Linked DNA regions of Rhinolophus ferrumequinum. The protein of the gene in region 3 purifies or fractionates together with the protein of the main gene of each other region. This does not show direct contact. Links are inferred from orthologs where the notes say so. Each region holds a gene or a part of one and is shown on either strand. Other genes may lie near its edges. The genes, in order: RPP25, POP1, POP4 and RPP38.

Region 1 (6,864 bases), on a different chromosome or scaffold from region 3:
CTTTCAAGCATGGGGACAGGTAACATTCTGAAGGTAGGGCAGCAAAAAGCCCCCCTTTTCTCCACGCCCCGGGAGATTCCAGGCCAGAAGGGGACTTACCTGACCCAAGTCATCGGAGAGAAAGCCTCTGCTTGCAGAGTCCTTGTGACTGCCCAGTCAGGACTTCAGACACTGGTGGTCTCGGAGCATTGGCCCTTTTCCAGAACCAGGACCAATCTCTCTTAAGCTTCTACCTCTTCTAAGTTTTGTTTCTTTTAGATGAGGAAGCCCAGAACCAACCCAGGGCTCCTTGGTCGTTAGGATAATTTATATTCTTTCCACCCTTATTTGGCCACCTGAAAGAGTCAACCAGCCTTCCCCAGGGACTCATCAAGAACAATAAATTGGGAGGGCAACCAGTGCCAGTCTGGAGGGGAGGCCTCCCTGACCCAAAGCTCAAGCAGAGACATGGGGGAGGGACAACTTCTGTCAGCTGCAGAAACGTACCTCTTATCACCAGCAGAAGGATTTATTTCAGGGTTCTGCCAGCAAAGTGACTTACGTTTGTGTAATGTAAGTCCCCATCTCCTCCTTTCCAGGGTGCTGTTTTGTTGCATGGGGTGAGGTGTGCTTCTGAGGTCATGGGGCTATGTGCCCCCCCCTTTACTTGCTGGAGTTCTTCCAGCACACAGCACTTCCTCCTCCCCCAGCTGAGTTGGAGTTGGGCAGAAAGGCTTATGAGGCCGTTATCTCTCAGCAGACAGCTGTGCAGGGCTGGAGGCAGCAGCTTATCAGGGAGCCTGCAGGGATTCACAGCCCAAGTCCCAGCTTCTCTGCTGAATAGTAATTTCCAGCAATGGATTTGTGCTCATCTCTCTCCGCCCCCTCTCCCAAGGGTGTGCTGTCCTTTCTTAGAGAGAGGAGCAGTGAAGAGGAGATCCTACCCATGGGATGAGGGGCTTTGTGCTGGTCTTCTAGACAAAGCTCAGTCTATTGGCAGGAGGCTGCAGGTTTAGGGACCCCAGTAGGTTCTGCCACTCTTGGCAATGACCTCCCGGGGGAGTTCATCCATGCTCTTCTTCCTTTCTCTCCTAGAAAAGCAATGTGCTGCTCCCTTTTCCTTACTGGTGATGCACAGGGGGAGACAGGCCTCCTTCCACCCACAAGCCCGAGGCCAGAGGCAGTCAGGGAAGGCTGGAGAGAGAGGGAGAAGCCAGGGACTGAACACTGTGCTTCTCACACCATTTTGAAACTGTCCAGTCTGTGCCTGACCCTGAAGACTCCAAAGGCTAAGAATCCCAGGCTGGAGGGGACTGAGACACAAGGGGGCAGGCCAGAGCTGTCTTTGCCCGGCAAGTGGTTAGGAAAAAACCTGGGACAGAGCCATTTTTGTGTTTGTTTTATTGGAAGCAAGACTCCAGCTGTGGGGCTCAAGGGAGGAGGCATGGAGAGTTCTGTCCTGGGTCTGTCCCTCTGGGCCAGCATGGGGAGGGGGGGATGTTACAAGAGCTAGAGCCAGGGGCGATGCCTGGCCACCATAATCTCAGGATGTTCCTTAAAAGCAGGGGAAGGAAAACTACAAAGGTAAATGTCTTGGGGTGAGGGGCAGAATGGGGCTCCCCACAACACAAACTCCCCTACCAGTTTCTCACCCCTTGCTCTCCGCTGGTGGGGGTAATTCCAAGAGCTCCCTTTGGCTTCCACACTCCTCCTCATGAATGCTGGGTGTCTCTAACCGTTCGGGGTCCTGAGTAAGGCTCAAGAGTCCCACTGCCCGGAATTCCCTCCCTGAAGAGGATCCCAGTATGGCTCAGAAAAGATGAAGGTTGCTTTCAGGCAACACAAGTGGAGGAGCAACCGCCCCACGAAGCTTCCTTGGGTCCCTCTCTTGTGGTGTGGGGTCCACGAAACCAGTCTGAGGAGTTGAGAGCAGGCTGTGAGCTCCGGCTGACCGAGGTGTGAACGGCTGGAGGTACGTCTCAAGGTGGAGGCGCTGGGGCTAAGATCCAGCCCGTCTGGTGGCCCAGGGCCGGGAGTGTTCAGGTCGTCTGATTCTCTTCCGCAGCACCTGGCTCGAGTTGTGACCGCTTCGCGGAGCCTTCTCCAGCAGCGGGTTCCCTTAAGCTCCTCTTGGGCGTTGGCGCGGTTGGCTGAGATGAAGAGTCAGGATGGGGGCTCGGGGGCTGGTAGCCAGGTTGATGCGGATCCAGTGCATCTTTGGAAAGTAGGATGGCGAGGCTGGGCACGTTCTTAAGTACACTGAGGCTGGCGGCCGGCTCACTGGGCTTCTGCTCCGGCGTGGGCCCTGGCGGGAGGCTCTGCCACACCTCGCGCACGCTCCGGTAGCGCAGCCGGGTGACTTGGTGCAGGCCAGCCAGGCGGCGCTTCAGGATCTCGGCGCACGTGACGGTCTTGGTGGTGGCCCGACCGCAGCCGCTGAATACGATGGCGCGAGTGGCTGGCTGCGCCATGCTGGCGGTGGCGAAGGCCAGCAGGTTCCGGATTTTGCTGCCCTCCTTGACCCTCATGTGTACAGCGCCGGGCGCCAGGTCCGCGAAGGGGCCGGAGCCCGGGCCGCCCCCCTCCGCCCCACCACCCCCCGGCGCCTCCTCCGAGCGCACCTTACGGAAGTTCTCCATGCGCCGTCGTTGCCCGGACCGCGGGGACGCGGGCTTCGCCATGGGGTCGCCTCAGCCTCGGAGCTGCATGGCCGCTGGTCGACTGGGTAAAGGCCGGCAGGGGTAAGGGTGCGGGAGCGGCTCGGACGCTGGCGGGCTGGCTGCGACGGCGCGATCGTTGCTTCCCACTTCTCTCCAGGGATCGCTGCTCTATTCTGCGCTCTCGGCGCCGGATGCTCCGCGCCTTTAGCGGAGGCCCGGCCTGGGAGCCTGGGAGCCCCGCCCCTACCTTCAGGCCCCGCCCCTAACTCGGTCCTCTCGCCTCCGCCCCAGCCTCACCCGCCTCTAGGAATCCGGTCAGATCCTCTGCTATAGGGGCGTAGGAGCAGCGCGCATCCTGGTGCGCAACGGCAGCGCCAGAGGGTGACTTGGTAGGCGAAGTTCCCCTATAATCGTCATCAGCCCTCCCCGAGCCAACCCTTATAAACGGGCAAGCTAAATAAAAACTGTGTTTGCGTTGCAAACGCCGCTTCAAGCAGGGTCCCCAAGCCCTTCCGCGTGCGTTCCAATTGAAGACAGCCTCTTCTCCCCTCCCACGGAGAGACTTACAAGCGGCCTGCAGGGCCTCTTTCCCCCACTCCTTTGGGGACCCCCCCAACTCTGTCGCTTCCGCTCCTGAGCCAGTATTCTTGGCTCAAGGACAGCCTGTGCACGGTCAGCAAGTGCGGAAGGCGCTGTCTCCGGCCCTACTCCGTGCCTGCCCTCGGATGACTACGTCGCGGCGTGGTCCTCACGGGGCAGCCGGAGGCTGAGGTCTCAGCCTAGCCGCGCCTGACTGCTTTGGAGGTTACCGGACACCGGGACACCCCTGGGGAGTAGGCAGTGAGGCTCTTGGCCAAACTGTTCCCTGGGATGAATGGGAAGAGAACAAGGAGATCCCTTTTCAAGGGGGGTTAAGCTCCTTCCACCCCTGCCTGAAAGTCTACTATTAGAGCTGCAGGCCTTAGGATAAGCCAGGCATGTTTCCCTGCTGACGTGAATCCCCCTTCTTCCCAAGTGGTTCGCTGTCAGTCAGCTTTGGCCCCGAGACCTCTGGGGTCCTTTTCCAAAAAGGAGACTGGGCGAAGACAGATTTTAAAAGAGAAAAGGGAGGAAGATGGGAAGTTGAAGCTTTGGTGGCATTATGAAGCTATTGGGTGCCCCTCTCCGGGAACTCCGCTGGACCGAGAGAGAGTGGCCCCAGGTCTCCTGCCAGGAGAGATGAACAGTGAAGCCAAGAGGCGAGGACTGCTGAAGGCAGGCAGGGGTTTGCAGGAGCGGGACCCTTCCTAGAACGGCCCCAGCGCCTTTATCCTTCCACCCATCTCACGCACCTCACAGTCAGAACTGAGAGAGTGGGGCAGACTTGATCCGGGTGGGGTGCCTAAGACGGAACGTGGCGGAGTGGCGCACGAAGAGCTAGTGGAGGGCAACCCTGAAAGTGTTGGGGGCACGACAATGTCTGGGGAAGCTGGGCCCCAGTCTTAAGATGGAGCTGCCGGAGTCCTCCTCTCCCTTTTCAAGGCTGCTATCGCCTCCTCGGCATCCTGTAACTCCTAGCTCTCGGCCTTTGCTGTTCAGAAATCCGGGCTAACCCCATTACCGCTCTTTGGGAGTGGCTGGAGCAGGTGGACCTTTGCGTCCCAACGTTTGAGTGACGGACCTCCCCCGATCCCCTGGTCGCTCGCTGGGATGAGGGGCCCTCCGGTCGCGTTCTGCTCTGAATCTGGACTTGGGCCCCGCGTGAGCTCCCGCGGGCCCCACGAGGAACAGCCATAGAAGCCGGAGGCACAGCAGCCTTGAGAAGACACAAAGACTGCAGCGCTTGAGGGGGGGGGCGCAGGGGACCCCACACTCTGTAAGGCCAGGGAAGTTGTGGGACTTAAAAGGCGGCAGTTTGGCTAGGCCTGAGAAAGTCCCTGAACAGCCGGAAGCTATCTTGTTTCCCGGAAAATAAGACCTAGCCGGACCATCACCTCTAATGTGTCTTTTGGAGCAAAAATTAATATAAGACCAGGTCTTATTTTACTATAAGACCGGTATAATATAATATAATATAATACCCAACCGTATTTTGCTATAAGACCCGGTATAATACAATATAACATAGTATCATATAACATAATATAATATACCGGGTCTTATATTAATTTTTGCTCCAAAAGACGCATTAGAGTTGATTGTCAGGCTAGCTCTTATTTTCCGGGAAACACAGAACCTTGGATCGGGTTGTTTAGGGAAAAAGCAAGCTCTTCATCCGCGGGGTATATAAACCAAGGCAGAACGTTCCCTTGGGTGTGTGGAGGGGCATGAAGGCAGGAGTCTGCAGTTTGGAAGAAAGGGCCTGTGAGCTCTGGTTTTGCAAAGGGTGAGGATGCGGCGCCGCCTGGTCTGGCCCGGGAAGGCGGGGCTCCCCTCACCCTCCTCCCGCCCCGCGCCTGCCGTCAGCTGTACAGGACTTGGATTCACTTCGCTCCGGGGTCCTTGAAGGGAGAGCGCCGAAAAGGCCCGCACTCCCTCCTCCCTGTCCCCTCCCCTTCCTCGCTCCCTCTGCAGCACTTAAAATGTAAATGTACACCATGATTAGCCGCTGGGTCTCTAATTACCGCTGAAGCCATTCATTACCCTGTCAGCGCGCGTCGTAGCCCGCCGGCTGTGCGCTCCAGCGGGGCCGCCGAGTGGCAGGGCTGGGAAGAGGGGGTCGGAGGGATCCGAGAAGCGTGGGGGCGACGCTGCGTAAGTAAGAGTAGTGAGGTCCGCCGAGAGGAAGCGGGGGCTGCAGAGGGGCCACGCCGGGCAGGAAACGGGGTTGGCGCGGAAGCGCAGGGCCAGGGCAAGGAAAGGAGAAATGCGGAGGGAGCAGCCTGGAATGGGGGCGTTATAGACGTAGCAAAGATGTGAGGGAGGAAACGGCGATGAGGAGCGGGAGGAAGGGAGAGTACGCGGGGAGGAACCCGGGGGAAGGGGCGGTCGCGGTCCGGAGGGGAGTGGAGGCTCAGCTCTGGGAAGGTTGGTTGATAAATTGGAGCTTCTTTGGCCGACACTCCTCGACGGTTAGAACCGTGGAGAGTCAAGACTTTCTGTTAAAAGAGTCGGGTGCTAGCTGTACACACTGTGGGACCACAGGTATTTTTAAAGGGGGAGATATTTCCGTGTGTGTGTGTGTGTGTGTGTATGTGCGTAGATGTAAATGTATTTTTTAAATATCTGCAAGAAGACGGCATACGACATCTGTTACCTCTAAGGCCGCTTCCAGTTTTTGTGGGCCTCTTTAAGAAAAGAACTGCTAAATTACTAACTATGAATACAAAATTCAGCCCAGAGCCTTGGGACTGCCCGTGTCAGTGAGGTACTCACCTTGAAGCCTGAGCTTCATTAGCTTCTTTTGCCTCTGTGACCTTGAGCGTTTACTTTACCTCTATTCCTTAGTTTTCTAAGCTGTAAAATGGTGCTAACATAGGAACCTGCCTCATAAAGTGATTGTGAGACACCTAACAGTCTTAGAACATTAGCTAGTAAGTTCTCAGAAAATGCTGGCTAATAGTTTTCATATATTATGTGTGTTTAAGATAAATTTAAAAAATTTAAAAAGGGGGATGAAGGGGAAAGAAAGCTGGTGAAAAGGAAAGGAAATGAGCAAATTGGAAATTGGAAAGGAAATTAGAAATTGCAGTTTTCCCAATATGTTAGGGACTAAGGAGTGGCAAATCAGACTCCTTTCACCCTAAGGGGAGGTGGTGACAGGCCTGGCTACTGGGGCACCAGCCCCTGCTCTGCATTGGCCAGGCTTATGCACCTTTCCAATAGTACATCTTGCTTCTCATGGACAAGTCTCTTCTCACCCCAAGACTGGGAGAAAAATCCGTGGCACAAGATAGGTCTCCTTCTCCTCTGTCTCCAATGGCGGGAAGAGGACTCTTCCTATAGACAGACCCAGGGAAAAGACCTGAGGCTGAAAATATGCTTCTGTAAGTGGAGGGCAGGGAAAAGACCGAAGAAAGAGTCACAGCACTCCAGTTGGTAATTAATGGTGTTTATTAAGGGAAACTTAGACACGAGGCATGTCTTGGGCGGCTGCAAGAGAATTGGATTCTCCAGCAGCTTGGCAGGCACCAAAGAATTACACAGGGTAAAGGAGGGGGTAATCACAGTACTAGTATGTGAACGCCACTCGGTATGGAAATTGCTTAACATGCTTGACCGAGTCAGGACAACAACCTGTTCCATC
Region 2 (7,674 bases), on a different chromosome or scaffold from region 3:
TATAATCTTAAATGGTAAAAACAACTTATCCTGGTAGGTTCTATTTTCTTTATTTTACAAAAGAGAAAATCACATTCAGAAGTGTTAAGTGACCTGCCTGAGGTCACCCCACAGTTGGAATTCAAACCCCACTAAGAGCTGGAGCTTCTTGCACTATACTGCACTGCCCACCCACTGTCTCCATCCTCTGGTCATCTCCGTATGCAAGTTGAAACAAGAAGGCAGCTGGGAACGTCCATGTGGGTGACTTGAATTTTTTCTCCACTTTGCTAGTGACCACCAAAGTGCCATGAGTATTAATTTTGGGGTTACAAATAAACTTTTACAACTAGGTGAATTTGCAAATACAAAATTTCCAAATAATGAAGGTCAACTGTATCTGTTTTTAACTCAGCTCATTTACTATTTAGATAATAACTATCAAAAGGTGCTGAGGAAAGAAATTTGCTCCAAATGGGAGTGGAGAGAGCATTAGGTGTATCTTACCTTGTTTTTGAGCTCGGAAAGGTTTTCCACCTCCATTATGGTGCTTTACACTTCTATCAGCCACAAAGCCAGAGGATAAAGTCACATTAGTGGGCTGGTTTCTCATTTTCTTAGCATGTTTTCTTTCTTTTGCATTAGACATTTCTGGGAAGAAAGTTAACAAATTTAGTACAGGGAAAGGAAACTTCCATTCAAAAATAAATTTAATAAATATTCATGTGATTCAATATTTAATTCTTCAATATAATAAATCTTTATTTATTTCAGGTGGATTGGTGATATCAAAATGTTATCATGATATTGATATATAGCAGGGATTAATAACCAGGGGGATCTCTAGAGGAGCCATGAATGGTATTAACATCAAAAATCTGATTCAATAGAAGAAATAATGCTATTGATGCAAGAGACTATACTGGTACATTCCAGTTACGCTGCCAAATAATTAAATCATATACCAATGTTGGCAACTGCATAAAGTCTTTTGAATGAAAAATGAGGTATGAGATAAGATCCCTATGCCATGATAAAAAATTAAATTAACTAAAGCATTTAATCAAAATTCTTGGGTAAAACATGAGCCACCTGAATCACTAAAATATAGAACACACTATTCTGATATGATAACCTTTACGAAAACTGAACATAAATTATTGATGTTTTCATTTCTACTACTGAGATGAGGCCAGCTGCACCTTTAATTTATAACAGCAAAAATATTTCAATTTGAAGGAAGGATAAAGGACAATAATCTGGAAAAGCCTGATGGATTTACTCAGTAATTCTCAATTTTCAACATCCCCCTTTTTTTCTGCATAGTTTCAAAGACCCGTTTTCTATTTTTAAATGAAATTCACTAATAACATAACCTACCAGACATGTATAAATTTTATCAATGCATGCTCTACAATATGGGCCCTAATTGTAATCTAAAGAACTAAAAAGTGGGGGCCGGGGCCGGCCGGGGGCTCAGGCGGTTAGAGCTCCATGCACCTAACTCCGAAGCCTGCCGGTTCCATTCCCACATGGGCCAGTGGGCTCTCAACCACAAGGTTGCCGGTTCAATTCCTCGAGTCCTGCAAGGGATGGTGGGCTGTGCCCCCTGCAACTAAGATTGAACACGGAATCTTGAGCTGAACTGCCACTGAGCTCCTGGATGGCTCAGTTGGTTGGAGTGCCATCCTCTCAACCACAAGGTTGCTGGATTCAACTCCCGCAAGGGATGATGGGCTGTGCCCCCTGCAACTAGCAACGGCAACTGGACCTGGAGCTGAGCTGTGCCCTCCACAACTAAGACTGAAAGGACAACAACTTGAAGCTGAATGGCACCCTCCACAACTAAGATTGAAAGGACAACTTGACTTGGAAAAAAGTGCTGGAAGTACACGCTGTTCCCCAATAAAGTCCTGTTCCCCTTCCCCAATAAAAAAAAATCATTAAAAAAAAAGAACTAAAAAGTAATTTTAATAAATGATATGCATTTCTTGTATGCAAATATTTCACCAAAATTGTATTAGATGACATTATGAAATAATGAAAAAACACGAAAGTTCTTGAGCAGAAGTAGGAAAGCCAAAACCTTAGCAGTATGTGGGGCAAAATGAGGAGAATAAACAGGATTTTCTTATATTATGTTTTAAAAGCAGGGCAGGACAGGGATCCTACCTAACTTTTTTACTCCTGTTTCTCCAACACCTAGCGAAGTGCCTTGCACAAAGAAGGGGCTCAATGTATATTTGTTGAATGTACATATGTGCGCATAAATGAGGGAGTGAAGCGTACCTGCAAAGTACTAATTAACAAAATAAAAAATAGCCAAGTATCACTCTTCTGACACAGCATGACGATTGCATAGCTGCCAAGTGACCAACCCTGGGGCCCTTTGCTGGATCAAGATCACTATCTTCCTTTTTGAAATCAGATCCCACACACTAGGGCTCTGCTCAGATCAAAGCGGAACGCATGGAGACCTCGTAAAGCTCCAGGAGTACTCAAAAAAAGGGAACATGGGAGGGGCGGGAAGGTGGAAAAGGACTAAATCCCAGCGTGGTCCCCTGAATGATCCATCTCGTTCCTCTACGGTTTAAGGAGAGAAGGTAAAAGCCCATTCCCAGAACGGCCTCCGCCCGGTGGGGCAATGCAACAAAATGATAAACTTAGAGGGCTCGAGCATAGGGGCCGAGGGAGGTGTGGGATCGGCAAGAGGGGCCCAGGAGCAGACAGCAAGGGAAGAAGAAGCCAGTGGGGTCTGAGGGAAGAGAAGATATAGGGGGTGGGGACGTGGGGGACAGTACGCGGACGCCGGGCAGGGTGCGTGCGTGCACACACACACACACACACACACACACTCACTCACTCCCCCAAAGTCGCGGACCCTAACAGACACCATCCCCTCATGACCTACCTGCTTGACGAACCGACGGAGGAAGCCAGGGCTTCCCGGTCAGAATGACAAGGCTCCGCCACAGTCTCCAAAACGACGTGAACGGTGAGAGAGCTGGAGGGAGCATGCGCCAGTGCGACCGCTGTCTCCACGTGGCCGAGAGCCGCAAGGAAACTACAACTCCCAGAACGCTGAGCGAACGCGCCCCGGCGTCTTGTTTCTGGTGGCACTGCTGGACTCTGGATAGTCCAGTAGTCGCGAGCTGGGGTAGTGTACCGGATAGTTCTCTCCAAGAGGCCTCAAAGGAAAAAGATTAGCTATGTCATCCTTGATCAGAAAGGTGATCAGCACCACGAAAGCCCCAGGGGCCATTGGTCCCTACAGGTAACTAGGCTTGTGGGAGCGCGGTCGGACCCCAGGCGTGTCGGGTGTGGGGTGAGCTGTTCGGCAGTGACCACCCGGATCATAGCTGGGGTGGGCCTGGGCCAACCTAATCTAACACTTGAGGAAACCTAACTCGGGAAACGGGGCAACGCACCCATGGACCCACAGTGGGTTAGGAACCCCACTAAGACACAAAGCCTGCGCTCCCGGAGACTTTGCCCCGACCCGGGTGGACTGCCTCACGGGGGAGCGCAGTCAGCCAGAAAGTTTCTGGGGTTAGACGTGGTCTGTTTTTTATTTATTTATTTTGTAACAGCTTTATTGAGATATAATTCACATACCTATAAAATTCAGCCCTTTAAAGTGTACAATCCAGTGACTTTTTTACTATACTCACAGAGTAGTGCAGCCATCACCACTACCGTGTTTCCCCAAAAATAAGACCTAGCCGAACAATCAGCTCTAACGTGTCTTTTGGAGCAAAAATTAATATAAGACTTGGTCTTATATTAATTTTTGCTCCAAAAGACTCATTCGAGGTGATTTTCCGGCTAGGTCTTATTTTCGGGGAAACACTGTATGTAATCTCAGAATTTGTATCACCCCAAAAAAGAAACCCTATACCCATTAGCAGTCACTCTCTTCCTCCAGCCCCTGGCAACCACTAATCTACTGTTGGTATCTATGGATTTGCCTGTTCTAAATGTATAGTAAATGGATCCTACAATATGTGGTCCTTTGTGACTTGACTTCTCTTTCACTTGGCATAATGTTTGGTCTAATTCTGTCTTAATTCAAAGGAGTAAATCCTATCCACAGATGTGGGTGCCCTCGGGAGAGGTGAGTTCTTTTCACAGAAATGCTTAGCAAAACCTTGCACATCTACCCACGACCCTGGATTTTACAGCACATATATAAATGCATTGTGATATTTATGAATTCTTTGCCCATGTTTATTTCACACTACTAAAATAAAATACAAATCATAAGAAAGATCATTTTCTAAGATTGCCCGACATGCTCTAGTTAAAATAGGTATACTGGCCAGAAGTCTATCTTGTGTACAGAAGCACTGTTAAATTGAAAGTTTAATTCCTTTTTTTTTTTTTAGATTTTGTTTTCTTAAAAATGTCTCAGCTTTAAAATTATTGGACCTTATATGCATTCTTGGAGACTTTTTTTCCTAATATTACTTTTGTTATTTTTAATTCTTCACTAAAGTATATCCTGTAACTTTTTTCCATTTTCCTTTTTAAAATAGTCTGTAGTATGTTCACTGTTAACTACAGCTGGAAAATTTCTGCAACTGGAACACTTGAACTATGACAAACATGTATTGAGTACCTACTATTTGCCAAACACTGCAGGAGATATAAAAATGTGTAAGAATCAATCCAGTATGAAAGACAGTCACACATATCGGGAAACGAAAAACAAACATTTTAATTTAGTGCATGTTGCATAGCAAGCACCATAACAGACCAACTTCTCTTAAGTCCCATCCCCACTTTACAAAAAGAAAACTGAAGCTCAAAGTGAACTTGTCCAAGGTCAAACAGTCTGCAAGTGACAGAGCTTAATTTGAACAAGCCCTACACTTACGTGTGGCAGATGAGTAATTATTATAGTAGGGTTAGAAATAAAGTGCAGTGGGACTGAGGGGACATGGAGGTTGGGTGAGCGGTGACAAAAGAGGAAAAGAAAGAATTTGATGCTAACCTTGGGCAGAGGGACAGAAGATTTAGGAAGGTTCCTAGTGAGAGGTAGTCTTTGAGGTGGGTTTTGAAGGTTGGATTTGCATTTACAGTACTATTGTAAAGTTTGATTTTTAAATTACAGTTGACCCTTGAACAACATGGGTTGAACTGCACAGGTCCACTTATACGTGGCTTTTTTTCAATAAATACTGTAAATGTATTTTTCTTATGATTTTATTGATAACATTTTTTTCACTAGCTTACCTGATTGTAAGAATGCAGTATATAATACATATTATGTACAAAATGTGTTAACCATTTATGCTGTTGGTAAGGCTTCCAGTCAAGGGTAGGCTATTTGTAGTTATGTTTTGGGGGAGTCAAAAGTTGGATTCTCAGCAGTTGGGAGGGGGTGGGCTCCCCTAACCCTCACATTGTTCAGGGTTGAACTGTACTTTGTTCAGGACTTCAACAGGAAGTTGTGGAGTGAAGGGCATTCTAATTAGAGTGAATGACTTGAGGTATAGAGCTAGAAGAAAACATGGCATAAAGATTTTCTGGAGTAACATTTAGTCATCCAAGTACCACTTTTCCTCTTTTTTTCTTTTCTTTTTAAACTCTTTTTTTCATTTGCCAAATCTGTGTACCACCTATATTATAATTTACTTTACACTTTATTTTGTGATGGCTCACTTTTACAAATTTAAAAAGCAAACTTTACGACAGTACTCTAAATAGAAAACCCAATAGGCAGTAACAGTAAAAAATAAACTCAATAGAATAAAAAATGTTATTAAATTCTAGCTAGATACTGCAGTTGGCTCAAAACCCAAGGCCTTTCTCTTTTTTTAAAAATGATAGGTTTCTTTAACTTGTTTTCTCCATGTAATTAGCGGATTGAACTCTTAATTGCTAACCTTTATTGAGGCTTACTCAGCAGTAGGCACTGTTCTCAGTGCTTTATGTACACAGTTACTAGTATTACAGTCCCCATTTTTCAGATGAAGAAAGAGAATGGAAAGGAAATCATTTCCTTACTGATATTCTGTATTTGTGTGTGACCTACGCTTTGGCAAACACTTGTTAGGAGTTAGACTTTGAATTTGAATTTTTGTTTTGTCTCTTGCTAAACATTAGCTGTTACAAGGTCTGAATTGTGATGGTTTCCAACGCTAAACTGAAGAGTATAAACTTTATTGTGAATGCACTGAGGAGCCATCAAATGTTTTTGAAGAGGAAGTGACATGATCTGATCTCTTTTAAGAAGAGAATTCTGATAGTAATTTGAGGAGAAGATATTAAGAATAGATAAGGGATATTACAGTAAAAGAAAAAATCAGTAATCTTCTTCCTCCTTATGCCCTAATGCTTATCCCTCAATCACCCATTATTTTTACCTCAGAATAAAAGTGATCCTTAACAAAGCAAAGTGATCACAGAGCCTGGAGCATATATCTTCCTCAAGTATATACTTTGTTCAAGAAAGAAAGCAGGATAGTAGTACCCCTGGTTGACTGACCTGGGAGTCAACTATCTTTATAAAGCTGCAAGCAAAAGAGAAGGGAATCATTCCATGAATATGCCCGTATGACAAGAGGAAAGCCATCAACCAGCTTCATTGTGTGGAGACTTTCCAGGATATTGTGCCTCTTGTGCTTTTTTGTATCCAAAAATGATACTAGAAATGGTGCTAATTTTCAATATTTTATGAAGAAAAAAACATACTCCACCTAACTAGTTATGTCCTGATAAAGTTAATTGGACGTGTTTTAACAACCATTTGGAAAATGAGATTTTATGCATGGAGTTGGTAGTGAGTGCACTTTTTGAAAATTCTGGGTCTTTTCCAGGAAAAATTCAAATGTGTTGAACTTTCAGTCCCTGGCATTGGGGTGGATGGGGTGTTGTCACTAATTAGCTAATCAGTTCAACACATTTCAGGAATACTTCACAACAGAACCTTGAGAGATTTCGACATCACATTGCTATTGCATTGCTTTCCATTTTGTTTGCATACCATCTAAATGGTCATAAAATTTTGAAATGATAGTCCATGTGTCACAGATTATGATGTGAGAATTATTACTAGGATGTTTCTAAAGTATTATTACCCTTTGACTTGGGAGTAGAACACTTAAATGTTCTAGAGCCTGATGACTGTCTATGGGTAGTAGGATCCTTATGCTTAGGAAGGGTCAACTATCATTGTTTTTGTGAACTATCTCTGCTAATCTATGAGAGAGAACTCACATAGCTCCGATAGTCTCAGAGGTCCAGGCCTTACTTTTTTTTTTTATATTTTATTTGAGGGTTTTTAATTTTCTGAGAATAAATGAATTCCTTCTTACTGTCATAAAGTTTTTGATGAATGATAATGCATAAGGGCTTAAACTATGTTCCAGATATGGGGAGAGTTAAAGGTACTTTGCAAAGGGCCGAGGACAGCCTAATTCTACACAGGACAGTTAATAGAAACAGTGTTAGCTGATGGTACTATTCAACCTGAGAGAAGCTTACATATTAACAAACTCAATAGTTAATCAATTTGTGGGCCAGGGTGAAAGCCAGATAGGGAGAATTCCTAAACTTTCTAAATCCTAATACCATGTTTCCCCAAAAATAAGACCTAGCCAGACAATCAGCTCTAATGTGTCTTTTGGAGCAAACATTAATATAAGACCTGGTCTTATTTTACTATAATATAAGACCCGGTCTTATGTAATA
Region 3 (7,622 bases):
GCCTTGAAGGGAATGATCCTCACACTCGGGAAAACGGCACACCACCTTCTCTGGGGTGGGCCCAGCCCCCGGGGTAGGGGTTTTGTCACTGTGCCCACGTTGCAATCCCCTTTACTTGGGTTTCCAGTTCTGTGGATGAATCGTGGCTACTCTCCAAGCCTGTTCCCACATCACTTGGGGAAAGGAACTGTCAGCACCCCTCAGGCCCTGCCCCCACGCCCGTGCTCACTCTCTTGTACATACAGCACAGTGTCATGTGACCGTGGCTCTCAGAGAGGACTTCTGGGCAAACCGTCATAATCGTGTATAATTCTTGAAGGAACTCCAAGCATCGCCGCCTCTCGAGCTGGAGACCTCCAATCTGTCCCTCATTCAGGAGCGGCTGCCCGGGTCTGCCACAGCCCAGGGAGCACCACCCACTGGTGTCTCGGCGGGACCATTTCCTGGGCCCCTGTTGCACTGGGCCACAGGCTGCAAACCCCCCGAGGCTCCTGTGTCTGTAGTCATCAAGCCCTCCCCTCAGGGGGGCGGGGAATGAAGGTGTGATGCACATAAGGAGCTCACCGGGGGGAGGGCACGTGGCTTCAGCTTGGTACCTTGGATGCTAACTAAAAATCATCACTATTATCTCTGTAAGGGAACAATTATTTGACTGTGGGCCCTCCTTCATGGAGAAGCCAAAAAAAGTATATCCGTCTTTCAAAATCTTGATTTTGAGGTATCTCCCTCATCATGAGTCACCAGTGGAGCGTGTGCCAAACTGACAAATCATGTTTGCAGCATCCAGGTATACTCCATAAATTCCACTTATGAAATGTGATTTGCCTGCCCTCTTCAAGGGTGAAGGGGACACAGTGACAACGTCAAATGACAGTGCTCACAGGCGCAGGTTTCAGGTGGGCATAGCCTGGCGTCCCCTACATAGTGGGTGATGACACAAGGTCAGGAAGTCCTAGTTAACCAAGCTTGACTTTGGCACGATGGGAAAGGAGGCCAGCATATGAAACAGGCCAACAGAATAACAGAGCTCGAGGGAACCTAACACGGCTACTGGAAAGGTGAGGAGTAAGACCTGGAAAAGGACACCTAAAGCAGCACTAAAGGCTAGAAGCCACCGGGTGGACTTCCTCCCACCTTACCTGAACATCAAACTCTTCCGCCTCTTTCTGAGAAAAGGCATGGTAGATCGCACCTGGGGGAGTGAAGAGCACAAACACGGAATGACTCCTGTTGGGTACGGCTATAAGAGCCAAGAGGCTTTTAACTACGAAAATAATTATGCTTCTTCAGAGATAGGAGAAGATGGCACGGTGTAAAGAGCAGTTTCAAAACTCCCTTGGATGCCTCTTCTCCTACTCTCTGGCCATGTCCATCGTGGAACTCCCAAGGGGGTGCTTTAAAACAGGGCTTCTCAAACAGCAAGGTGTGTAAGAATCTCTGGGTTCTTAGGAAAAAGTGGATTCTTGGCCCCACTGCCACACCCTGCATTCCTAGCAAGTTCTCCATGTCACTGTGGGTCAGCGGGCCACATCTGGAGTCGCAGTGGTTTAAAATACCGTAGTTTAGAAACCTGGGAAGTTGCTCAATTAGTCTAATAAAGTAACTCATCTAAAAGTTATATGATAGGGCTTTCCAGGATGCAGGTGGTTGGCAATATTACATTTTGTTACGTGTAAGATGTTTAAAAAAGATTTTTCACATTTTACTATCTATGAACTTGGGATGTACCCTACAAGTGGTGCCCTAAACTGAGAAAATACAGGTCTTTCTTCAAGATCAAAGTATATCAATCATTGATGTGGTTTCAACTTCTACAAACTTCCACACTCCTCTTTTTTACTTAATTTGTCTGAAGAAGAAAACTAGGGCACTGAGGACAGACTATGGGTCTGAACAGAGTAAGAATGAGAGAAAGGCCTGGTTTAAGGGACAGAAGAATAGAAAATTTGGTTCACACTACACTCTGTAAATTTCATCCCAGCTCCCTTGTGCTTCCCTGAGAACATGTGATGAAGCAAACCAAGTGGCTGCAAGTTTGATGTCTGGAGTTGAGTTCTCCCTTGTGATGGGGAGAGCAACTTACAGGGCCTGGAGCCCCAGGAAGGACTTTGCCTCACCTGTCACAGGTGCCTAGCTTTAGACTTGGGAGGCTTTTGTAACAGTACACATCTAATGGTATTGAGCCCTCACTACTTGCCACGAAACTCACTGAAAGCCACACATATTTCATCTCATTACACTTTCTGAACAATCCTTTAACACAGTTATTATTAAGTTGACACAGGTAGGAACCCGCAGAGGCGGAACTCAAAGTCCTGACCCAAAGCCCCGTTGTAACGGTGTTTCCGCTCCCCTGCCTGTGACTGCCCTGGGTGCTCGCTCCGCTCCGCTCCCGAAGCTTTGCGTTAGTGGTATCACTGCCCAGCAAGCGCCCAGAGCTCTACACCAAACAAGGGTCGTTCACAGAGCAGCAGGTGCCAAGGCACCATTATCAGTAACTGTACTTTACAGAAGGGGACCTCGGTCACCCAGGGAGGAAGCGGCCACATCGGGCCAAGGCCTTGGGCCCTCCTCTAGCTTCAGACCCCACTGAGCAGCCCCCAGAGAACCGGCCTCCAGCTCTGCCATCCACCCTGCGCGGAGGCGGGGTCAGGCTATCCGGGCCCCGGGCCCGTTTCACCGAAGTGAGGTTCCCGTAGGACTCCGCAGCGCTCCTTCTCACCCGCCAGCACCAAGCCCGACCCTTCCCGTCCCACCCCTCCGCCGCTGCGGCCCTCGACCCCTTACTCTTCATCCTCGGACCGCTTCCGGCGCGCTCTGATGACGCCTGCGTCAGGCGCCGCTCAGCGGTACCTTCCGGCTCCTTCAGCAGCGCTCGGCCCCCGCAGCCTCTCTCGTCACAGCCGCGGGTGGACAGGTTCCGGGCACCCGAGCTCGCGCGCCACGCTAAGTCGACAGGCTGCCCGCTCGGACGCAGAGCGGGGGTCGCAGGCGCGCGGAACGCGAGGACGGCGCCGCCGTGACGTCACCGACGCGCGCCGACCTAGAGTGGCGCCGGCGCGCGGGAGCGGCCTCGGCGGCTGGCGCAGGTATGGCCGCTCCCGCGCTCGTCTGTCCCTCGGAGCGGGGCTAGCCTGTGTGTTTTGTGGGCGGGGGAAGGCTAGAAGCCGCAGGGCTGCGGTTAGGGCGTGTGGGATGCTTGATCCTTTCTTTTTTTGTATAGCTCTGAATGATAAGCTTTCAAACATGCACGCAGATGTTTTCCCACTAGTGGTTTTTTTGTGAAATTTCCAGGGGAAGTCGAGTTTTGATGGTATCATTGCAGATGAGTCTGCCCCCCCCCCCCCAACAATTTATTGTGAAAATCTTGAACTATACAGGAAAGGAGAAGAATTTTACAGTGAACACCTGTGCGCCATTCGATTGTACAATTAACGTTTTGCCGTAATTGTACAGGTTTCCTCTGATTGCTGCTTTAAGACATTCAGGCCGGGAGGTTGAGTACTCTAAGAGAAGTGTCATGTACAAGCCCCAAAAGATTAAGCCTCAACTATTAAACAAGCGGGCATCTATGAAAATTAGGACCCTTCTAGTAGAGTTTAAGTAGAAGAAATGGTAATGATCCTGAAGAAGCACCAGCAAATCTGTAATGAGAACATGGAAGGCTTTGTTTTCGGTGAAAGTTGTAATCCTCCAAGTTAAAAAAGTCGGTGTATTATTTTATATATAACATAAAATATAATTTGATAAAATATATGTATATACACATACATATGCATACACATGCACACACGTGTATATACAAGGGGTGATCAAAAACTACAGTGAATGTTTAAAAAAAATTATTACAGTAAAAGACACATTGCTATTAACCCCCTCAAAATACTCCCCCTCCTTTCGAACACACTTATCCCATCATTCTTGCCACTTTCTGAAGGGGTCCTGGAAGTCCTCTTTTGTGAGTGTCTTTAGTTACGCTGTCCTGGCTGCTTCCATGTTCTGAATCGATTCATAACGTTTACCTTTCATGGTCCTCTTGACTTTGGGGAAGAGCCAGAAGTCACATGGTGCCTGATCCAGTGAATAAGGTGGATGAGGACACACCGTAATGTTTTTATTGGACAGAAGTCGCCATATCCGAAGCGATGTGTGACATGGAACGTTGTCATGATGGCGGATGAAACTCTTTGCCCATCTCATGTTAATGTGTTGTTTGTGATCCATGATTTACGGCACACTTTAAAACACACCTTCTCTCAACCGTAGCTCACACCCGACTGACTGCACCAACAAGTTGAAACTTGTCACACACACCGTTACTAAGGTTCGACGCGCCGCTTCCTGTGTTGAAGATCTCTGCCTTTCCGTTGGATGGCACTCAGCAGCAGCAGTCACAGTGTGTTTTGATTACATCTTGTATATGTTCGTATGTATATACATACAGAATTTTTTCTTTCTTTTGTGTTTTTGTGAAGTGGTTAAACCTGGTGTGTTTGAGAGGGATGAGCCCTGTTCTGCTGTTTTAGACAGGAAGGCCTTGTTTGTGCCATGGGATTGACAACAGTACCTGCTTCCTAGGGTGGTGTGGAGCACTCAGTGATATGACGCCCATGTTAAAACAGGGCTGGCACAGACATGGTTTGAGAGATGCTAGCCATCGTTGTCTGCATTCTCACAAAGCTGAAACAGTCCCTGAGGCTCAGTGTTACGAACTTCCCTGGCCCTGCTTTGCCTTTGATCTGATGATTGTCCAGATGTGGTGTATTGAGAAGGGGAACTGGGAGTGGTGGTGGTGGGGGACTGCACACGGGGGCCCCAGCAGTCATTCCTCAAGCTCAATAGTGCCACAGGAGACTGCCCATTCTGACAGCGAGTGAAGGGACCAGGCTGTAAGGTGCCCGTGCTAACATGGGATATTCCTGCCAGGCCAGCCCTGTCCTGCTGGGTCACTGGGTGCTCTGGCTACAAGAAAGGACCGATGCTTACAGGGGGACAACGTAGCAATCCCTTCTGGTCACGAGACAGCACTGTGTTCTAAATTAGTTTAAGAACCATTTGGAATTTTGAACAGCAGGGGCTAGGACACTTGGCATGTGTGACCAAATACCAGTTTCTGAAATCCAGGTTTCTCAGTCTTTCAACCCCCAAAAGTCACTCTTCAAGGCTGTCTTGATCCCAAGTGTCTAAAAACTCAACTGTCATAGATGCTTCCAGTTTCCTGATGAAGTTTTACTCTGAGCTGAACTCAACTGAGGAAAGCTTGGTTTGAGTTTCATGACAGGGTGTCTTAATGAACTGGATGGAGGCTTTTGGGGGTTGTAAGAGATCTTCCCTGGATGTCGTTCCTGAGGCCCTGGAAGGTTTTGCAGGGAAGTCAATGCAGGCTGCATGGGGCAGGCGTGCATGCTGCTGTGTGTTTGCATAGGTCTGAGTCCATGATGGCCCCAAATATGGGAAAGTGGGAGGGAGAACCAAGCTGACAGAAAATCACCCCACACTGCCATTAGGACAGGGCTGGAAAGCAGAGACCTGGTTTTATGATGTTTGACTCCCAAAGCCCCTCCGGAGGTAGGGAACAGACCTCCCCTTCAAGATATTTGAAGCCAGATGGGGACTTGAGCATATTGAAAAATATAATTCAGGGAAAAAGTCAGGCCCTCGGCATCGCTGCCCAACAGGAAAAGGTATGCCCAACAGGAAAAGATGGAGACACCTCTCAGCCTTCCCACGCTCTTCTGTTCTGTCACCTGCAACATCCAGGTTAAGATTTAAAAACCAGTACGTATGACACACAAAGAAGCAGGAACTGTGACCCATAATCCAGACCAGAAATGGTCACTAGAACAGGACCATTGATGACCCACGTTTTAACTGGAAGACAAGGCCTTTAACATACTATTATAAATACGTCAAATGACTTAGTGGAAAAGATGGACAAAATGGGTAAAAAGATGAGGAATTTCAGCAGACACATGGAAATTCTAGAGCTGGAAAAGACTTTTTCTGTTTCCTGTGATGGTAGGTGCCTCCATGTTCAGACTTAACATTTTCATACCTACTGAGAATATGTGCCCAGAGCACACACACCCTTCCTTTTTAATCATGTGATAAATACTGTTTCCCTCGAGCCCCGAGGCCTCTCTGGGCCCCTGTGTCTTGCTTGTTAAATGAAGGGAGCATGGGGACTGTGTCAGGCCCCCTTGTAGCCCCTGCACTGCCCGCTGCTGCAGGGACAAGTCCTGGGAAGCGTGCTTTGTGTGCTCGGGTCCTGGTGGCCACTTCCTGTGGCTGGGAGCCCTCACAGGGGCTTCAGGAACCTGAAGAACTGGCCTGTGGAGGTTACCAGCTGGGGAATAGCTCCACGGCCGGGTTGGTTCCCGTTTTCCATCTTCTCAGGACCCACGTCCATCCTCATTTGTGAGGTTCCTTTTGCCTGTCAGTGTGGTAACAGGAGGACTGGCCTGTTTACCCAGCGCTGGTCTGCAGAGCGCTCAGGCCCTGGGGTGGGCCGCAGCGCTCCTTGTAAGCTTGGAGTGGCTCCTGTGTTTCTCTCAGGTCTTTGGGCTCAATGGGGGACTCCGAGGACCCATGGAGTATGGAAGGAGCATGCGTCTCTAACACACACCTGGAGGCCTTTGCTTTTGGAAAGGACGCCCCCACACTTTCCCCATAGGAGCCAGGAGGGGGGCCGCCGTCCATCTGACACAGGGTGGGGGTGGGTTGGGCGAGTGGTGGAAGAAGTAAGGGCAGAGGTGGCTGGGGTGCCAATGACAGGCCACACTTCGGATTTTTGACAAGGGTCGAGTCTGCTATGAAACCTGTTTTCCTATGTAATGAGGTTCCTTGATTCCCCCAAAAGAGCTGGCATTAATATTAATTCCGCCATTTGGACTATGTCAGCTTACATTGGCATTTGTTATTTATTGGTTTACTTTTTCTTTCCGGGGAGGTCTTGGAGTGTTAGACATAAAAGCTGTCCGCAGTCAAGGCAGGATATCTGAGTCTGTCACGAGGTGGCAGCCTAACACAAGGACTGAATCAGTGGCCGGACGCTTCTTCCAGAGTCTGGAGTAATTGCCTTCCAAGCCTGTCAAAAATCTGGTTTACCAGCCACTTCAAAGACTCTCAGGCCTTGGTACTGAAAACCATGGCCATCCAGGAGCTGGGTTATTTCTCTATAAACAGTGTAACTCGATTTTGATCAATACCTTCCCTGCCAGACAGAACAGTTAACAGAGTCAAGTGGTTTAATAAGATAGAGGTTAAAAGGAGAGAGAAATTATGGGAGCCTGGGGAAGAGGTGTGAGTGTGGATGACATTCAGAAATTGATGGCCTGTCCACGAGGTGGAAGGAGAGGAGCCAGGATTTGTGGGTGCATGTGGCCTGTTACAGGCGGGGCTCCTTCTGGGAAGGTGCGGAATGGATTTCCACTCCTGTCCGCTTTGCTTGCTTTTTGAGGTCCCCTTGTTTTTTCTTTTACTATGAAATGATTTTCTGCTCAGTGGCCTTGTTATTACCAGGGAAAGAGACAGTCATACCTTCAGAGGAAATAATGCACCATCCGGCAGCGATGCAGTGGCATGGGCTCATGAGTTTCATGTGACAAACGTCCTTTGCTGTG
Region 4 (7,473 bases), on a different chromosome or scaffold from region 3:
ATAACGCACTGGTCTAGGGAGTATATCCTGTTTCTCCTGCCCAGAGGCAACTGCATATCCCTTTCTCTTCCCTCAGTTTTCTTCCTCATCTTCTTCCTTGGCTCAGCTAAGCACTGTAGGGACCCACGTGGCAACACTCAAGGAAGTTAAATAAGCCAGCCCTGGAGAAGTCTGCAGTTTGGAACTGTCCCTATTTTCAGGTAACCAGATTCTAGATGTTCCCTTATTCCACCCAGGTCCTTTATCGCACCGAGGCCAACACTCCATGAAACCCCCACTGCAGGATTAGTAATTAAGTCCTCTCCAGTTAAACTCCCGGTTACCAGGCTGGCTACCGATGTTCACGAGCAAGTGTCTGGAGTGTGTCAGAATTTATACGGCACTTTCTCCATTATTTGAGTCTCAAAATTCCTGTATAATTGCCCAATGTGAGGATGAGGAAATAGACTCAGATCAAATACCTTGCTCAAAGTCACAGCTGGTTTCCAAATCTAAATTTTATGCTCTTCCAATCCTGGCTGCACCTCAAAAATAACCTGTGGCCTTTAAAACATACAGATGGTTGGTCCCTACACTGGATCTACTCAACTGGAATCCCTGGGAATAGGGCTGTGGCATCTGGACTTGTAAAAAGCTATCTGGGTCAATCTGATACGAACTAATTAGGAACAATCTGCAGGTGTAGGACAGGCGGCCTTTCCATGCTGGACAGCCCTGAGAAACGGTCTCCTGACCTCCACTGGTCTCCAGTGTTGCTTATAAGTCACCTTCTTACACAAAACCCCAACTGCGCTCCTTGGGGTGAGAGGTCAGATCTTGCCCATCTCAGTAGTACCCACTGCCAGAGACTCGGTGCCTGCAGCCTTCACACCAGCCCCACTGCACAGCCCTCCCCAACCCTTATTATCTCCATGCTCCCCTCCAGCTCAGGGAACCAGGAAGTAGCTCATCCAAATCCAAGGGTGATTGGCAGAGACTGGGATCAGGTTGGAGGTGGTCAGGAAGACAAGACAAATAGGATCTGACAGCTCTTGCCACACTGCGAGTCAGTTAACGTCTCAGCATTCAAACGCAGAAGAAATACTGAGATACTTAGAGTTATGTGCTTCGGAGGGAAAGCAAGGTAGGCATTTAACTCCTGTTGTCAGAATCTAGCGGGGGAGAGGACAGCCAAGAAGTTCGGATAAGAAGAATCTTAGGACCTACAGTCCAAAAACAAAGTACTGACTGGTAAGGAGGAGAAAAATAGGAAGCCCTTGGCAGTGCCTTTTGAGCTATTGGAGGCCTCTACTGCCTATAGGATCAAGTGCAAACTCTTTAAGGTGACATACAAGACCCTTCTCTGTTCCCATGTCCCCACCAGCCTTTCTCATGTGCCCCACTATGCACATTTCACCCACTGCATCACCTCCACGTCTGTATACACATTATTTCCTCTGCCTGGAATACTATTCCCACCCTCAGCCCCATAACCACTTTTCTTACTCCCACAAGTATTTCTAGATTATCCACAATGCACCAAGTCATAAAGTATTAGAAAAAAGTCATGGCCTCACTGAGCTTAGAATCTATGAGCAAGACACGTGTTCCCCCAAAAATAAGGCCTAACCAGAAAAGACGTCCTAGCATGATTTTTCAGGATGACATCCCCTGAACGTAAGCCCTATAGTGTCTTTTGGAGCAAAAATTAATATAAGACCCGGTCTTATTTTCGGGGAAACACGGTATCAGTATGTAATATAATACAATTAGGGTGCACATTCAGGTCAGGTAACTACAGGACACTAAGGGAACATGTAACAGAAGCTTGACTTAGTGGGGAGATCAGGCAGGTCCTCCTGGAGGAAGCGACCTTTTAATCCACTTCTAAAGAACGCCTACCAAAGGAAGTAGAAGTGGAAAGAGTATCCAGGGAATAGTGTTAAAGGACATGAAGTAAGTTCAGTGTTGCTGGGGTAGAGATGCCAGAGAGTGGTGACATATTAGGAAAGGTAGGTAAAGACCTACCTAAGATGAAGGTCCTTGCAAGCCTTGCAGGGGGAAGTGACTAACGTTTCAAGCAGAGAAGTGGCATGATTACAAAGACATTGCAGAAAGATCTTTGTGGATGCGGGCCTGGAAGGGTCCTTTGCCAAGAATGGAAGCAGCAAAGGGGGTCCCGCAGAAGTCCAGGTAAGAAATGATGGTGGCCTGCCAGAGTCACCGCAGAGATGGACAGATACATGCTAGCTGAAATAATCAAGAGGTAAAACTCTACCCGACTTTGGGATCAACTGCGAGTAAAGCAGGTAAGTGACAGATGCTTCCAGGTTTCTGGATCCGGTGGGGGGGGGGGGAGAGGGTAGAGGGGAGAGCCCGTTCCCAGAGGCTGCAGTCCTGCCCCGGAGTTAACTCCTCCCTTTGTATGTCGCCCCTGTATCTAGTGCCTTGGTACTTTACTACTTAGCATACGCGATGGTCGTTATTTTGTGGTCCGTCTCCACTTAAAGGCTGTGGAGTACTGAAGGGTCAGGGTGGGGCTTTAGTATTTCTCGTATCAAAAGACGCTCAGCTCCAGGCAGAGATAGGAGCGTGAGCCAAGGCTGGAGGCAGGAAAATACGCCCATCCGGACGGTGGCGGCCGGGGAAGCGGGGGTCCTGGGGAAGCCCTGGAGACCTTGCGCGCCCGCAAGCCTTCACACTCGCCGAGTCCCAGCCCCCATTCCACCAGGGGCGGGCCCCTCCTGCCCCTCTGCGTCCCGGGCGCCCTATTCCCACTCACGATCGCCACGGCGCCGGCTCCACGTGCACCGCCACGCGCGTGCGCACAGCCCTCGCCCTCCCCAGCCCCGATTTCCAAATGCTCAAGGAACTTCACAGTTCGCCATTCTGCGTTAGCTCACTCACAAGAGAGAAGGTTGGCTCACTGCATCGCGCGGGAGAGAAGCGTAGCAACCTTTGAAAACCTGTTTGGGAGCGGGTGTTGAAGCTCCGGGCGAGGCCTTACAGCAGCAGGGCGCAGGCGCAATGTCTGTCTCGCGAGATCTCACGTTGCTACGGTAACTTGCCGCTGCCTAGCTCTTCTGCCAGGTCTGGGGGCCGGCTTTAGCCTGTAGCCTCCTGAAGGCTGGTCTTCTCACCTGTCACCCTTTCCCTTCCGACCCAGTCTCTACCTTTCAGCGCCTGGCAGTCTTAGCCCTCTCTCCCTTCCCGCTTTTCTGTATTTGGCTTGCCTAAAGGGACGCAAAACCCTAGCCCCCGTCCCAGTGACCCCATCTCCATCGCATCCCTGCGGGAATCCCCAGCACCGTGAAAATCAAAATAAATGGGGGCTGAAGGGTGCTTTGAGGGGAGAAAAAAACATGCTTACAGTCAACAATGTAGGCAATCTTGAGCCCCTTTAAAGAGAGGGAGTAAAGGCTGCTTTGAGTTCTGCGACAGCAGTTCAGAAAACTCCAAACGTCTGCTGTGGCTACACCAACTAATGGAGACTAACGGTTATGAATGGAGTCGCTGGGAAGTCATGGACAATTGTAAACCAGCTGAACAACATTTTCAAGGTCAGGCATCAGAATCTGTTGATTTACATTTGGCAAGAACTTGGAAGACAGTAGGTTACTTATGACACAATGAGCCTCTTCCCAACACACCGCCTTTCTTTTTCTTTTCCTATCTAACTTAGCGCCCCCCTTCCTTTTCCTTTTATCAACATCTTCTTTTTCTCAATCTCTTCACTGCTAGTTTTGTCCCCCACCCCCTTTGGTTTGGTCTAGTTTCTGTATTTTCAATTTTCATCACTTACATGTATCTAACTGGTTATAAAGTAAACAATAACAAAAAAGCTGTGTTGCTTTTTGTTAAAGGTTATTGCAGGTTGCACGGGAAAGTACACTGTGATTTTTTAAATCCCAATTAGAAAGATCAAAAGAAAAAGTTACAATGCGTTTGAATGTAACAGCAGGCTTTGTTTAATAAAATGAATCCTATTGGTTCATTGTGATGAACTGTAAACATACAGTTCTAAAGTAGCCTTAGATCTAGCTTCTAAGCTGTGAGACAAATGGAGACACACATGTCTAGTTGAAATGCTAGAATAGTGAAAAGGAAATGTGTATCAGTTTTTGTCCCCTCAAAGTTCCACATTTATAGTTCCAGATCGTATAGTGAGAGTTACAGCATCATCTCAGTTTACATTTGCTCGATGAAGATTACCTGCCATTACCTTCCATGGCTCTGGAGCCAGGCTGGCTAGATTGAAACCCTAATTTTTTCACTAACTAGGCATGTGACTCTAATTAACCCTCTATGAAGTGATACAAATAGTACCAGTTGTGAGGATTAGAAGAGATAATCTATGTAAGATGCTTAGCACAGTCCTGACACATAGAAAGTGCTTGATAATGAGAACTGTGATGACTCTAGTGACAACCTGAATTAAGAACTAAGTTAATAAAAATAAACTGTAGCCTCTGTGATTGCAATGCTTGTGTTCTCGTTTAAGACTAGTCGTATAATTTTCACAGGAATTTTGCTAAAATGAATAACTGCATTTCAAAGATAATTTCTTTCTATTTTGTATCACACAAACATTGCAACAAAAAATAGAGGGGCGGCTGGAACGCTCAGTTGGTTAGAGCGTGAGCTCTGAACAACAGCGTTGCTGGTTCGATTCCCACATGGGCCAGTGATCTGCACCCTCCACAACTAGATTGAAGGACAACAACTTGGACCTGATGGGCCCTAGAGAAACACACTGTCCGCCAATATTCCCCAATAAAATGTAAGAAAAATGGTTAAAATGGAAAATTAAAAAAATAAAGAGAAAATTACCTCAAAACACATTTCCTTTCAGTGTCCTAATTTGTATGCATTTTGCACACATAAACGCACATTTATGTGTGCGTTTGCATTGTTAAAATAATAATATACATTAAATTCTGTGTTCTGATTTCTGTTCCATATAACATTTTTCCATGTTTCTCAAGCATAGTCTTCAACTTATCACTTAAACCCATATATTTGGGATCCTATACTGAATGATGAGCTTTACTTTTTAATGATAGCTCTTAACAGTAATTTTACCATGTAAAACTCAATTTGGTCTTTGAATAACAAAGCTTTCTTTTCATATTAATTCTAGAATTGGACTGCTGTTAGATTTATATGCTTGCCATGATGTAAGAGTGGTTTAAGATACTTGGTGATAAGTTATGTCATTAGCCACAGTCCTTTGATGAACTAAATGAAAGGCCCAACAAGGAAGTTTGCCAATAAAACAATAGAAGAATATAAGACAATTCACTGACAGATTCTTCTTTCTTTCTATGGAATTGTAATCTTTGCTGTGTGTGTATTAGTTAGAATTCAGAATTCTCCAGAGAAGCTGAACCAGTGGGAAGTATGTAGACATATGAGATCTGACAATTAAGTTCGCGAACTCATCCTAGAAAAAAGTGCTATGTACCTCACTGCTGAATATCACTACGGTCACCTTCGAAGTACTCCCCTTGGGGAGTTATGCACCGATGCCAGCGCCTAATCCACCCTTCAAAGCAATTTTGGAATTCTTTCTGGTATGGCCATCAGAGATGTCATCATATTACCCTTGATGTCCTGAATGTCATCAAAATGCCTTTCTTTCAATACTTCCTTTATCTTTGGGTAAAAAAAGAAGTCATTGGGGGCCAGATCAGGTGAGTAGGGAGGGTGTTCCAATACAGTTATTTATTTACTGGCTAAAAACTCTCTCACAGACAGTGCCATGTGAGCAGGTGCATTGTCGTGATGCAAGAGCCATGAATTGTTGGCGAAAAGTTCAGGTCATCTAACTTTTTCACTCAGCCTTTTCAGCACTTCCAAATAATAAACTTGGTTGACTGTCCAGTTGGTACAAATTGATGATGAATAATCTCTCTGATATCAAAAAAGGTTAGCAACATCGGTGCAACAAGTTCGTGAACTTAATTGTCAGACCTCGTATATATACATATATATATATCATATATACAGATAATTATGAGGAATTGGCTCATGTGATTATGGAGGCTGAGAAGTCCCACAATCTGCTGTCACAAGCTAGAGACCCAGGAAAGCTGGTAGTATAGTTTCAGTCTCATCCCGAAGGCCTGAGAGGAAAGGGTAGGTGATATAATTCTCAGTTCGAGGGTGGTAGAAGATGAGATGGGATGGCCCTGCTCAACCAGTGAGGCAGGGAGAAAAGGGGACAGCTTTCTCCTTCCTCTGCCTTTTCTATGCAGGCTCTGCATGGACTGGATGATGCCCACGCACACTGGGGAGGACGATCTACTCTACTGAGTCCACTGATTCAACTGCTAATTTTATCCAGAAACACTCAGAAATAATGTTTAATCTGGGTATCCCACAGTCCGTCAAGCTGACACATAAAATTCACCACCACAGTTTGATTGTTCTTATATATAACAACAATTGTTATACAAGTAGTAATCAGTTATTTTAAATCAGTCACTAAGAATAAACTTTAATGATGAGCTACAAAATCAAAGAACAGCCTCTGAGCCTGTGCTGTTGGAAGCTCTGCTAGGTAGGACTATATAATACTGCAAAGAAGCAGTATACAGGTGACGCCTTTCAAGCAGTTAGGCAACCCGTAGGCGACGGCATGGTGGCAGTGCCACCCGTCCATGCGTAAGGTCGGTAAGGACAAAAAGAACCTAACTGGATTCAGACCATTTGTTATACTTACAAGACAGCAAAAGGAAGATCAGCATAATGTCCCTATCACAGACGTCAGATAACCGTGGGTTTATGAGCCGTGGGTCACACTGCATTGACCTCAGCCAAGCAGTTTCAGAGACAACACAGAAGCCGGCAGCTGGGCCGTAAGGGGATGGAGGGTTGGGGGGGGTGAGAAGAGAGGGCAATGTGAAAAGCCCTCGTCTCCGCTGAAACTAGGAAAGTGGAGGAGAAACACCTTGTGGGAGTCTCCCCCGAGACAGGGAGGCCTTCCTCCAGGAGGAATCGCAAGGCATTCATTCCACCAAGACTCCAGTCGGACGGCAGCCAAGACTTTGAAATTTTAATCAAATGCGAATCAGGACCCCACTCTGTGTCTGCAGACTTGGAGTGACTTTGGGTTTGCTCCCTGGAGAATGGGGTCAGACTGAATAGGTGTGTAGTCCTAGGTCTTGCCCATAACCGAAAACTACGTAGTTAGGGTGTTTGCAGCATGTCTTCAGAATGTCAGTGTTTTTGCTTTATAAAGAGGAGAAAAGATGCAAAATACCGGCCTTTTTCATTCCTGATGAACTGTGCTTAGAGACAGGTGGGGGGACGGGAGAGGGCTGAACAAACGCTGTCAACCGTCCAGGTTTCTAGAAATTACTGAGAGAACAGAGGTATATACAAAAAAAGGAATCCCGAGTGAGGTCCGCGCCCTGGGGAGACCTCTCTGGATTTCCTGCAAACAACCTCTTGAGAAACAATCAGGGAGCGAGCCAAGAACAGAGAATAACA

The links.
Region 1: the proteins of POP4 (region 3) and RPP25 purify together in Homo sapiens (affinity purification with mass spectrometry; 3 studies listed by BioGRID and IntAct, counting the BioPlex papers as one, with this or other methods). This does not show direct contact. The link is inferred for Rhinolophus ferrumequinum from reciprocal best matches to the Homo sapiens genes POP4 and RPP25.
Region 2: the proteins of POP4 (region 3) and POP1 purify together in Homo sapiens (affinity purification with mass spectrometry; 5 studies listed by BioGRID and IntAct, counting the BioPlex papers as one, with this or other methods). This does not show direct contact. The link is inferred for Rhinolophus ferrumequinum from reciprocal best matches to the Homo sapiens genes POP4 and POP1.
Region 4: the proteins of POP4 (region 3) and RPP38 purify together in Homo sapiens (affinity purification with mass spectrometry; 4 studies listed by BioGRID and IntAct, counting the BioPlex papers as one, with this or other methods). This does not show direct contact. The link is inferred for Rhinolophus ferrumequinum from reciprocal best matches to the Homo sapiens genes POP4 and RPP38.

Annotation. Positions count from the first base shown.
Region 1 is NC_046289.1:99,496,821-99,503,684, forward strand, and holds the start of RPP25 (ribonuclease P protein subunit p25), read right to left. Parts: upstream 2,871-6,864; 5' UTR 2,661-2,870; coding exon 2,019-2,660; 3' UTR 1,632-2,018; intron 1-1,631. UniProt on the Homo sapiens protein: Component of ribonuclease P, a ribonucleoprotein complex that generates mature tRNA molecules by cleaving their 5'-ends. Also a component of the MRP ribonuclease complex, which cleaves pre-rRNA sequences.
Region 2 is NC_046297.1:40,022,375-40,030,048, reverse strand, and holds the start of POP1 (ribonucleases P/MRP protein subunit POP1), read right to left. Parts: upstream 3,008-7,674; 5' UTR 2,997-3,007; coding exon 2,891-2,996; intron 631-2,890; coding exon 487-630; intron 1-486. Other genes in the region: RIDA (2-iminobutanoate/2-iminopropanoate deaminase), read left to right, coding at 3,189-3,253. UniProt on the Homo sapiens protein: Component of ribonuclease P, a ribonucleoprotein complex that generates mature tRNA molecules by cleaving their 5'-ends. Also a component of the MRP ribonuclease complex, which cleaves pre-rRNA sequences.
Region 3 is NC_046298.1:2,073,907-2,081,528, forward strand, and holds the start of POP4 (ribonuclease P protein subunit p29), read right to left. Parts: upstream 2,795-7,622; coding exon 2,788-2,794; coding exon of another isoform or gene 2,700-2,787; intron 1,193-2,699; coding exon 1,140-1,192; intron 1-1,139. Other genes in the region: uncharacterized protein LOC117034730, read left to right, coding at 2,700-3,089, 4,267-4,422. UniProt on the Homo sapiens protein: Component of ribonuclease P, a ribonucleoprotein complex that generates mature tRNA molecules by cleaving their 5'-ends.
Region 4 is NW_022680355.1:1,566,242-1,573,714, reverse strand, and holds the start of RPP38 (ribonuclease P protein subunit p38), read right to left. Parts: upstream 3,006-7,473; 5' UTR 2,887-3,005; intron 1-2,886. UniProt on the Homo sapiens protein: Component of ribonuclease P, a ribonucleoprotein complex that generates mature tRNA molecules by cleaving their 5'-ends. Also a component of the MRP ribonuclease complex, which cleaves pre-rRNA sequences.